Drosophila melanogaster: one gene and its partner. The protein of the gene in region 1 interacts with the protein of each later gene in a pairwise test. Each region holds a gene or a part of one and is shown on either strand. Other genes may lie near its edges.

The links.
Region 2: the proteins of CG31300 (region 1) and Men-b interact in a two-hybrid assay, tested with the Drosophila melanogaster proteins (one large-scale study listed by BioGRID).

What each region holds. Positions count from the first base shown.
Region 1 is NT_033777.3:25,281,743-25,285,818, reverse strand, and holds CG31300 (uncharacterized protein), read right to left. Parts: upstream 2,200-4,076; 5' UTR 2,129-2,199; coding exon 1,574-2,128; intron 1,513-1,573; coding exon 984-1,512; intron 914-983; coding exon 729-913; 3' UTR 595-728; downstream 1-594. Other genes in the region: CG31104 (uncharacterized protein), read right to left, coding at 1-286; CG11892 (uncharacterized protein), read right to left, coding at 2,727-2,926, 2,994-4,076.
Region 2 is NT_033777.3:27,149,754-27,157,847, reverse strand, and holds Men-b (malic enzyme b), read right to left. Parts: upstream 6,187-8,094; 5' UTR 5,959-6,186; coding exon 5,942-5,958; intron 3,633-5,941; coding exon 3,458-3,632; intron 3,393-3,457; coding exon 2,343-3,392; intron 2,283-2,342; coding exon 2,130-2,282; intron 2,071-2,129; coding exon 1,776-2,070; intron 1,708-1,775; coding exon 1,543-1,707; coding exon of another isoform or gene 1,532-1,542; exon of another isoform or gene 1,509-1,531; coding exon of another isoform or gene 1,474-1,508; exon of another isoform or gene 705-1,473; coding exon 685-704; 3' UTR 245-684; downstream 1-244. Other genes in the region: CG6051 (uncharacterized protein), read left to right, coding at 7,419-7,454.

The DNA of each region.
Region 1 (4,076 bases):
GCGATTCGGACAGCATGTCCTTTTTATGTCCTTCCTGCTCTGGCATAGTTTTGATGATCAGTGGCTTGAAGAACTTTCCCTTAGGTGTTGTGTACTCCACTTTGGTGCGGAACATAACGCTGGCATAGTGATCTCCCTGGGCAGTGGCGGGTGATACCTGCAGATCGGTTACTTTAAGATCCGGGAGTTGCTCGTACTCTCTCAGAATATCACCGATAAACTGAGCATTTAGCCAAGCTGGCGCCTGAAGTTCGTCCGCATTATATTCAATATTTTTGCCTTCCATTTTCAAAATGTTCTATTGGGTTTTATTAGAATCAGTAGTATAACCGTTCCGAGAGCTCTGCGAACTACCAGTATAATAAGTCTGTCAAGTGACGATCATTTTAAAGAAAACCTGAGGAGCTTTTATTAAGCTTTTAATTTATTAAGGTATATTTAAAAATATTTCAATTGCTCGTCAAACTGCTTAATCTTATCATTCCTTCCAATAAACTTTGCAAAACATTGTTTAGGCCTTCAACTTAGGCCAAACAAAAGTGGAGGTGATAAGCAAAGTTGTTGTATCCTTGCTGAAAAAAGTCTTTCCGTTTCATGTTTCAGTAATAATCTTTTATTGGAAGAAATGTTCCTTTCGTAAGTACTTATGTACATATGTATTTCAACCGGAAAACAAAATAATGGAATAAACAAAATAAGGGCAACATATTTATGTAAATAAATGAGAGCTATAGACATTTAAAGTAGCCAAGTTGCTCGAATTTCGGCAATAGTTTGGAAACATCTTTAACATATGTATCCAAAAAGTAGGTTTTTTGGCGGGTTTCCGGATCCTGTATAAGGTCGTTCACTTTAAAACTCTTCGATTTGATGGCCAAAATCAAGGGCAGAAAAGTGCTCAACAAAAAGAAATCTAAAAGTTAATTAAAGAACGCATTATTATAATTTTTCACAATTCATTTTTTGATAAGTGGCTGACTCACCATAATACTTGTTCTTATGGATTTCATCCCAGAGTTTCGCTTGGGTTGGCAGTTCACCTGGGTATCCAATGCTCTTGAGGGTGGCAACCAAAACGGTTAAGTAGTGATTAATCAAGTCCTTTCCCATTTCTCTGCGTTGTTCCGGCTCCATCAGCATATAGATGGAATATGTGAGATCAATTGTGATGGGACAAAGGTTGCTAATCTGGAAATCCACCAGCATGGTATCCTCGTGGGCTCCCGTCCCCTTGTTGTTCTTGAACATCATATTGCGAAGATGGAAGTCACCATGACAGAGGACATAGAAGGCATCACTCTTTCGATTTTCATGGTATTCCTTCATCACAGCTTGTAGTCGTTGCATGTACTTATCTTTTATCTTTTCGAAATGAGGCTTATACTTTCTTAGCTCTGGTAATCTGTCCAGCATTTCAATGAAGCTCTGCATGCCAGTTGTAATAAAAGGGTCGGTCTTTACAGTGGGCATCTCGAAGAGGCCATACTTAAACTCCTTTAGGAAGTCAGGTTGCTGTTTGAGTCAAAAACATATTGGAATATAGAACTCCCATAATTACCTAAATTAAACCTACCTCCTTAATGTATTTCATGCTAATTGCATGCCATTTGGCCAGTTTAGCAAAGGCTGTTTTGAGTTCTTCCTGAGCAACCGGACGGTCTCGAATGACATAATATCCCTGGGGCACAAGGTCCTCAAATATCATCACCTTACGCGGCTCCAGGCTATGGTAAATGCAGGGAACAAATAGCTTTGTATCGTCTCCGGATTCCCGCAGAATTCTCTCGAATTCCGGAAGAACCTGGCAGTACATTCCGATCTCGGTTTCGAATAGATGCGATTCGCTGAGCATATCCTTCTTGTGTCCATCCTGCTCGGGCATCGCCTTGATGATTAGTGGCCTACTGAACTTTCCCTTCGCGGTGGTACACTCTGCAGTTGTTCGGAACATAACGCTGGCATAGTGATCTCCCTGGGCACTTGCGGGTGTGATTTTAAGATCGACAACTTTTAGTTCCGGGGAATCTTCGTACGCGCTCAGAATTTCCTCTATAAATTGACGATTCAGCCAAGCAGGTGCCTCTAGTTCGTCGTCGTTAAATTGTTCCGCATCTAACTTGTCAGTCATATTGCTCGCTGTTGCACAATCTAGTAGATAAGTGCCACGACTATTCTGAGTGGCGTTGTAGTTTATTATGGAAAACCCTATTACAGGCTTGTCCCATTTTAAGCAAAATGCTCGAGCTTTCAAAATGTTTTGCTCAAGCTTTGGGTATACACCACCACCCACTGTTCGATAATCAGTTGTAACCTCTAAGGTGGGGCTGATCCCATGTCAAGGTATAAATAGAAAAGCTATCAATTAGTATTCTTTTATAAGTCATTGCACCTAAACCGGTATCTTTCATTACAGATCTTTACATCGTATCTTCATTTCACTAAGCACTTAGTTAAAAAAAAAAAAAACAAACCACATCAAAGCAATATGTATACCTTTTCGATTACTATAGTTTCTACTGATTAGATCGGTGTCAGAATGACCCATCCAATGAAGTGACGAAAGGTAAACAAAACGCTTGATATGATTACGGTTAGTTTTATTACAAGTGGTATATAGAATGTGCTTTATATTACTTTACTAAAATATCTTAACTTAATATATAATTTTCTTTGGATACATTTTGGCTAGCTAATACTACATAACACAGTTATATTGTAAAGATTTCTCACTGGTCGGCATCAAGAAGACCCTCTGCCTCGAAATCAGGCAGAAGTTCCCGCAAGATCCTTTGAGCAATCGGATTCCTATAGCAGGCATCCTTGAAATTCATGGCCCGTTGGTTGTTCTCCATTAGGGCATTAAAATCGGCATCTGCTGTTTCCACATTTCGCTGAACTGGAAACACCGAAATGGATGTGTGGGCAGCTGAAAATCAAGAGATGAATTTGGTAATTAGCAACAGAAGGTCTAATCTGGTTACATTTTAACTCACCGTAGAATTTCTTCTGCTGCAATTGCTGGTGGAACTGATGCAAGCTTGGAATTGTGGATCGGTACTGCAGTTTTTTCAATGTATCTGCGAAATGCCTAAAGTAGTAGGCAATCAGCTGCTCCTGATGGTTCTGATGAAGATCGAACTCCAACGAGGAGTTCATGAAGTAAAACAGATCAAGTGCCGGCGATCCCCAGGCCGTGTATTGGAAATCAATAATAACCACGTCAATTGGCTCACCGGTCTGCTTGTCGTACTTAACCAGCACATTATTGGTCCAAAGATCTCCGTGAGCCAGGACATTAATGTGCCCAGGACTAATGTCGAAGATTCTTTTGCCCAGTTCCATGTAGATGGGCACCAGAGCCTTTAACTTCTCTGCGTACTTTTCGTATCCTGGCCACTGAGCCACACGCCTAGTGGCCGCCTGGAGCATGCCCACAAATGCTGGTTCATAGTTATCGGTATAGCGGTTGAAGAACCCTCGATCGTAGCTCTCGAGGATGTGGTTCTCGCGTTCGTTCAGGACCGCCGAAGTGGCATGCATTTTGGCCAGCTTACGGAGCACAATTCGAGCTAGCTTCTGGTCCAATCCGACCAAGCGATCCGGCATTACAAAGCCACGAGCATTCAGATCTTCGAAAATCAGCGCCGAGTTATCTATGTCCACCGCCATGGTTTCGGCAAAGATCTGCTCCGCATCACCGATTTCCCGGAGGAGGGCCTTCTGCTTGGGCAAGACCTGCTCGTAGATGATCATCTCACGATTGAAGATGTCGTACGGCTTCATGGCATTCTGGGCGAACTCATTCCCCTCAAATGTGGACTTTACAATGTAGTGACCCAGTTGGGAGCTACCATCGCTCCGAGTGAACTGTGCCTTCACACGGGTGAGGACTCCACCGTAGTTTTCACCCTTGCCCAAGGCAGGATTAACCTTGACCCAGTTGATCCTAATGAGTTGGTCCTTGTAGTATTTGCGCAAGGCATCCTGCAGATAGCTTTCGGTCAGCCATTCAGGAGCATCCAGGAAAACCGAAGTTTCTTCCGGCACAAGAGACTCGGGAACGGTGAGCTTGGGAA
Region 2 (8,094 bases), 1.9 Mb from region 1:
TGCCCCGTGATCCGGAATAGAATTAACAATTTATGGAAATATCCGAATATTTTCAAACATTTGTTTATACTACCCGAGACAATAACAAAACGAGTTAAAATCAAATGCGTTCCCAAGCCGCTCTCTCTCATTCTCTTGCCGACACACAATCTTGAAACTCTCTCGAAAGCTCTGAAAACAAAGGGGCAATCCAGATCTCAAGAGATCTCCAGCAAGCAATTGGCATAAAGGATCGAGAGTGTTTAACTTGTGTTTTCGTTTTATTGTTTATCGCACATCATCATCATCTAGTCAGTGGTACAATGGCTGAATCGGTCCGATCGATCATAAGGGGTTAGGTTTTCTAGTTACTGATACATTAGGCTCGACCTTTTAACAATAAATTATAACAAAGCTGCTTAATTGCGTTAATAAATATCAGATATGGCTAAACAACAAACATAATCGTCGCTCGAATATATCTACAGATATAAGTGAACTAATCGATAGAAAGCATAATGTTCTAACTTAGATAGTTGGTGGTGGTTAACGGCAGCGAGTTAAGTTGTTTTACATGTGGAATCGGTTGGATGGTTGGCTGTTTAGTTGTTTGGTTGTTTGCTTGTTTGGGTTGTTCTCACCAGTTAGCTCTGCTGTCTAGCCAATTGTTCTAGGCGGTCGGTTTGTAGGGGGGTAATCGATAATTTACATTACTTCCTCGCTCTCTGTGTGTGAACGAAAGGAGCATATAGCAATAGATAAATCAATCAATTGTCGAATTTCGGGTGGATTGTGATTAAGCGTGAATTTGATAAATAAGTATAGCTTCAGAGCTCGCTTGATGCCGCCGTCAGAGTTAGTAGTAGTAGTAGACACAGCAGATCATATCGGAAGCTGGGGTACACTTATAATGCGGGATAGCTATGGCAAGCGGCGAGGAATGGAATTGCGAAGCCAATCGGGTGTTTAAGTTACAGCAAACCATAAACATAGCATAGATTAAATACAGATAGGATAGTGATAGGATAGAATAGAATACTGCGTAATTGCTTTTTCGAAGGCGTAGTCACCGTCACAGTCGTCATGTCAATGTCGTCATTTAGTATCGTACGTTTCGGTATCACAAAATTAATAACATGATAATTTTTACATATATAAAAACATGGCATACATACATAATACTATTAAACAATTTGAAAATACATTTAAGAACCGATCCCTTGACCTCGCAGCTTGTTAGGTGTTCTAATTATTTAATATCAAAAACATTTTAATCATTTTTTAGTTGCGACTGAGTTTGACTGTCGATGCCAACGGATCGATTAACAAACATTTAAAAAGAGTGAGCACTGGAAATTTATCTAGTCTAGGGTAGTTAGTAGTCGGTTGGTTGTTTTGTTGCTTGGTGCTGATGGTGTACGCTTGGAAGTAGTAGAGTGTGTTAGATGCAAAACAGAACGGTGCCATCAACCAGTTGAACGCATTAATGCTATTTTATTTGATGGCGGCAATGAGCGGGCTTTCTTCGCCTAGAATAAAATAAAGAAAGAAATTAATTTTCACTTTGTTTTCCATAGAGCTTTGTGGGGACTAAATCACGAGTCTTAATGTAGGGCATCCGCGGCCAAACCCAGGAAGCGGGCATCGAGCTCTCGTAGTTGAAGTTGTACAGCTGATTCTCCAGCCACTTGCGCTTGTCCTGTGGCTCAGGGTAGGTAGATGCCAAGCCTACAAAAATAATCCAAATTAGTTATATTTTCTGTTCCACCAAGATTGGTATGCTATTGGTATCTTACCTCTATCGTAGGCACATTTGGTCACGCCAACGGCAATGTTCATGGACACGTTGCGGATGCTCGACAGCGGAGGATACAGCGATCCGCGCTCAATATCGCTGGGCTCCACGAAGTTGGCCAACTCCTGGGCGGCGATGAGGAACATTTCGTCGGGTATGTGGTGAGTACCCGTGCAGATCACGCCCAAGCCAACGCCTGGGAAGATGTAGGCATTGTTGCCCTGGCCCGGGTAGAAGGTCTTGTCACCGATCTGGACCGGTGGGAAGGGAGAGCCCGACGAGAAGATCACGCGAGCCTGTGCATTTCAATCATCTCATTAGTTGGTCATTACAATATCCAATGAAAATAACTTACATCCGTGTGCTTGTAAGCATCTTCGGCAGTGCATTCTGCCTTGCTGGTGGGATTGGACAAGGCGAACACCACGGGCCTCTCATTGTTATCCGCCATGGTGCGCAGGATTTCCGGTGTGAAAATGCCGGCAGCAGCCGAGGCACCAATAAGCACCTGTTGATTAGTTTAGGATTACCAAAAGTTCCATCAGAAATAACAATTGTTATAACATACACTGGGTTTGATGGTGGAGACAATCTCGGCGAGATCTGACATCGGATTGATGTCCTTGGCGTAGTGGATTTTGTGGCCATCCAAGTTGCCCACCTTGCGGCTCTTGGTCAGCAGACCATCGATATCGACCATGTAAATTCTGTTGTAGGCCTCCTCGATGGGCACACCATCCTGCACCATGGCCTTGACCGTGAGATCGGCGATGCCGATGGCGGCCTCACCGGCTCCTGCAAACAGGAAGGTGTAGTCCTTGAAGGACTTACCCGTAATACGCTTGGAGGCATAGAGCCCAGCAACGGCCACGGAGGCGGTTCCCTGGATGTCGTCGTTGAAAGTGCAATAGGTGTTGCGGTATTTGTCCAGGAACCTAAATGCATTGTGGTTGCCAAAGTCCTCAAACTGGATCAGAGTGTTCTGGCCATAGCGCTGCACCACGGCCTCCATAAACTCGTCAATGAACTCGTCGTACTCCCGACCAACCACTCGCTTCTGACGCAGACCCACGTACAGGGGATCCTCCAGCAGATCGATGTTGTTGGTGCCCACATCCACCACAATGGGCAGGCACTGATGGGGCTTGATTCCGGCCAGAGCCGTGTACAAGGCCAGCTTGCCCACGGGAATGCCCATGCCGCAGGCGCCCAAATCTCCCAGTCCCAGGATGCGCTCACCATCCGTCACACAGATGGCACGCACATTCGGCTCCGGCCAGTTCTTCATCACATCAAAGATGTGTCCTCGATCGTTGTAGGTGATGAACAGACCATGAGGACGTCGGTAGATCAGGCCAAAGCGCTGGCAGGCCAAGCCCACCGTCGGCGTGTACACAATGGGCATCAGATCCTCGATGTTCTCCGATAGGAAGCGGAAGAACAGACGCTCATTGCGATCGTACAGATCGCTCAGATAGAGATACTTGTTCAGCGGCTCCGTGTAGCGGTTTACGGCGATCTTGCATAGCTGCAGCTGCTCCTCTTGCGTCTTGAAGCGCGCTGGCTGCAGCCCATGGATGCCCAGAGTCTGGCGCTCCTCCAGTGTAAAGGCAAGGCCCTAGAAACAAAAGCATTTGTTTATACAAAACAAAAGTGTCACACAATTAATTTAGTGCTCCTTACCTTGTTGAGTCGCGGATCACGGATGTGATCTATGCCGCGCACCTGAGACGGGCAGATGATATCGCCCACCACCTCATGATAGTGTCGAGCGGTGGGAACTGTTGCTGCTGCCACAGCAGTCTTTCCTGTTGCTGAAGTGCCGCATCGACACAATTTGCCCACAGTTCCACATAAGCTGCAAATTGCAAAAGTGCATTACGTGAATCACTTTATCAGCGCGGCAATTGGAGAACCCCCTGGGAACCCTTGACTTTGAGGTGGGCCCACTGTCATTCTTGACATTGCCACTGGCAATGGGGGGGCCCCCTCTGTCCACCCACAAACACACACATATGCATATATTTATGGAATAAAAACGCCATGCCCAAGGTCGACATCAGCTGCTTTTTGTTTATCACCGCGCTGGGCACGCCAAAATATAAAATGAAAAGCAGAAAAGAAGGAAACTAAGCCGCATTGTTTACAGCTGTCCCCCGGAATCCAAAGCGCCAGCGATAAGGGGGATGGATGGCCTGGCAACATCACGATAAAAATCTATGCACAGCCGCGGTCATAAATCTAGCATCTAATCCTCAGAATCTTAATAACTTGTAATAAATTCTTATAAATAACTTATCTAAATTCTTTAGAATAAAAAATATTTAAAAACTACAAGTTCAGTTCTACAGCTTGGATTGAAGTGCATTATTATTTATTCTCTAGGGACAACTAAAGTAGGTAATTTTCTGTGCACTTACTTGTGATCGTATCAATTTAATGAATTACAAAACCAATTGGATCATTGAACTTGAAAATGTTTTTCTGTTCTTGAAGCGTAAATACCCCCAGATAAGATTGCAAAACTAACAACTCGTAGTGAAGGGCTTACAAAAATATACAATATTATGGACCCCAACGGACTAGATCAGTTAATTAAAAACAGGTTCTGATTATGCAACACTCTTACTGTAATCGAAGTGCCAAGCGAAGATCATATATTATAAGATACCCTATAATTTTGACCCCTGCTGTTTGGTTTTTGCTAGCTGGCAGTTCGAATAGATGGTGCTAATTACGAGAGAGGCAAATATCGCGGGACAGAGGCGTGTGACTAATTTGTGTTTGCGGTTCATTGATGGAATCATGCTCGCGGGGAGTGGAATTGGGATTGGCAGAGGGTCGGTATCGGTGTCGTTGCTGGATTTTGGTCAAGTTGAAACCGGTTAGTGACGTGCGCCGGGCTGGAAACCCCGAGATCCCTTGCACCGACAAAAGGCGAGCACTTTGGGTTGATAATTATCGTTTAGGTAACGCTATCACTCGTCAATTTTTTCCATTTATTTGAATGGCACTCACATGAGCCCCCACCACGTCGAGTGCTAAACAATTTCGCATATCTGAGCCAAATACACGGAATAAGTGCGTGTCGTAAATGATACCCCCATACTCCGAGTGCTACCAATAATTATTTTTAGGGTCTTAAAAGCCCTAAGAACTGGAGTCTGAAGGAAAAAGCTGGGCAAGTTCATTAAACTCTTTACGTCTTTCCATTTTTTGTTAGCCAAATTTCTGGCTAACGGTTTGCGTGGGAACGAGAGGCAAGATAGCAGACCAGCTGAAAACATTCTTGATGAACTTGGCAACGAAAAACGCTGACAGCGGCGAAACAAAGCACACATTTTTTCGGTATATGCACTAAATTTAGAATTCCGCCAGACCATCTTTCGAATATATGTCCATGTCCATGGTATTGAAGGTGTTGTGTTTTCGCTACACAGGAAACAAAATGTTTTCGATTGTAAAAGTATGATGATAAACTTTCCATTCCTTTTTTTTTCTTAGAATACTACTAAACAATGGAATACATTCGTATTTGTACTTCCTATCCAACTGTGAATCATAGAAAATTCATACGAATTATGTGCGGCGATATTCCTCCACCGAAGAAAAGCAAAATTAAAGCACATATACTTATGATACGTAGCACCCCGTTTCTCTCTCTGCAGCCCATTGATTTTTTCAGCTGTTTCTTGTTTGGCAGCCAAAAAACGAAGACATGCATGTTCGAAAACGCTTATGCAATTGCAAGGGAAAAGTGAAAATTCTGAAAACAGCTGTTCACCGAACGGGACCAGCAAGTGCGAGAAAGGGAGGGAAGCCGAAGGGTCAATGCCAGGCCATGTGCGATTCCCAATCGGAATCCCTCTCGCTCGCACATAGCGCTTCCCAGTGAAAACGAAAGCTGCGCAGCAAAAGGAGGAGGAAAAGAGAAGGGGAAATGGGATGATATACTATGTGAATATATTGTATATATACACGGACGCCTTGGCGGCCGCTCGTCTGATCCGAGTGACTAGGTCACTGGGCTACCAGCTGGGGCAGTTGCTCCTCCCGCATCGTGAAATCTTACATAATTTGCGCCCGAGGCACACACACACCCACGCGCACACAAATCCTTCGAGGCGAGTCCTTGCATAAAAAACCAAACGAAAAAGAAAAGCTTACCTGGGTCGTGAGAACATTTTTATGTCGTATAATTGCTTTCCGTTGCGCTGCTAATATCACTGCTCTTGTGTCAGTCAAATCCGTTTGACAGTTGTCCGGCTACAAAGGGCTAATACTTTCGGTGGCGTACGGTAACTTTGCAATGCGACGCGGTCAGCGACAACGACGATTTTCCAGGAATAAAATTATAGCTCTGCGCGCGGATTTTAACCCACCCCAACAACTTACGAAAACGACACTAGTGACCAAGCGACGCGAAAGCGCCAGCGAAACTTGAATGGCACTAAAAAATGACAGATGTGCGAGGCGAATGCAGGGTGCGGTACTCCACTGGCGGACAGTGCGCACTCGAACCTTTTCGAACGGACAAGCAGTGGGGAAGCGAACCTGTTAGCCTAAAGTTTAGTTCACTTTCGAACTTTGAGTAAATTTAAAGCGTTTCAAGCCGTAAATGTTTGTACCCATTCTAATTTATTCATTAAGCTATGTGAAATACAACATTATATATTATGTAATAATTAATTATTATCATTGTTAATATTATTATTTTATTATTATTATTATTAATTTATTATTATTATTATTATCATTAATTAATTATTGATTAAAATTATTCAATGTGTTTATACTAAGCTGATTTTGGCAAATACGAATGTTAATAGTTCGAATTCGACAGTTTACCAACTTTAGTGATAAGATATACAATTAGCTATAAGCTTATGTCAAACATTGAAAATCCAACAGTACAACAATATCGCATTGCTAGTGTGAACGGTGTAGGATAGTTTTTACACGTCCTCAGCATTTTCCCCCGAACCGAAGAGCGCCATACTCTTGGCAGTACTAATCGCAGACCCCGCCGACTGGTCACATTAATCGAAAAAAAAACTTTGCTGCGAACGCACGGACGCTCCGCTGTCGACGGAAATCGCATCGCAACGCGAAGGGCGGATGAGTGCTGCGCGAGTTTAATGGAAAAGTTTGCAATCCGAGTCGCCCGACATTCGAGTGGTCAGCCTCCGCTTTGACGCACTGCCTCTGCAGGCCGCCACAGGACAACCGACGCAGTTTCCGCGAGGGAAATGCAGCTCCACCTAATGCGACCGCAGAGTCACGCGTGTGAGGAGCACGAAAAGTGAAAAAGCAAGAAGATAGAGCAGAACAACAAAAGGCAGGAAAGCAAAGTGCGAAGAGGCCAAGGCATTTAAACAAAATTCACAATAAGTGTTAAAATCAGTAATGTGCATTTAGCAGTTGCCAAACAAATAGCATTTTTCTTTGTTTTGTTTGGCTCGTACGCACTTGTGTTGGTGTACAGTGCTAGTGAGTGAGTGAGTGAGTGCGTGTGTTTGTGTGCGCGAGAGCAAGGACAACAAGAAAGAGCAGCGGAAGAGGAGAAGACGAGGAGCAGGAGCAGGAGGGGAGGAGGCAGAGCAACAACTGTGGAGCTGCAGCTGGAAAGAAACAACCTCCTGCGATGGACACGTTTAAACGCTGGCTAAACAAACCCAAGGTACAGTTTTTGTTTTCTGCTCCTATTTTCGCATAAATGATGAAAGATAGCCCGATTAGTAGTGCCCTCTTATCACTGACACAAAAAACAAACAACAAAAACAAGAGAGAGCGCAGCGCAATTAATTAAAATAGTGAGCAGAGCGCGATAGAGAGAGAGAGCAACAAATGGTGTCAAATGTGCCTGTGTGTGTTTTAACTGTGCCGTTGTGACGTCAGCCTTTGGCCCTGGCTCATTCTCATTATAGGCTAGCGCCCTCTCGCTCGCACCCTGTTAGCCAGCTGGGTTTTAACCGCATTTTCGTTTCCGATGATTAATTCGAATTCGCTGACGTTGCAGCAACTGCATCTCGGCGTGTTGTTTTTTCCTTTTTGTTTTTTTGCACAATACGTGTGTGCAAGCTGCACTCTCAATTCAAATTGGAAACACTCACCAACACATGCACGTCCGCATGCACATGTACATGCCCAAAGTAACAACAAAAACAAATATGGCGCCAGTCCGTTCGTGTTGCAAATTACAAGCAAAAGCAGCTAAAGCCAAAGCCAACTAATTTATGTATCTGCGCCTGGTAATTTGGGATCTATTCTGTTCCACTCGCAGCGGGGAAATCCCCCTCGCTATCTTGCTGTGGAAAATC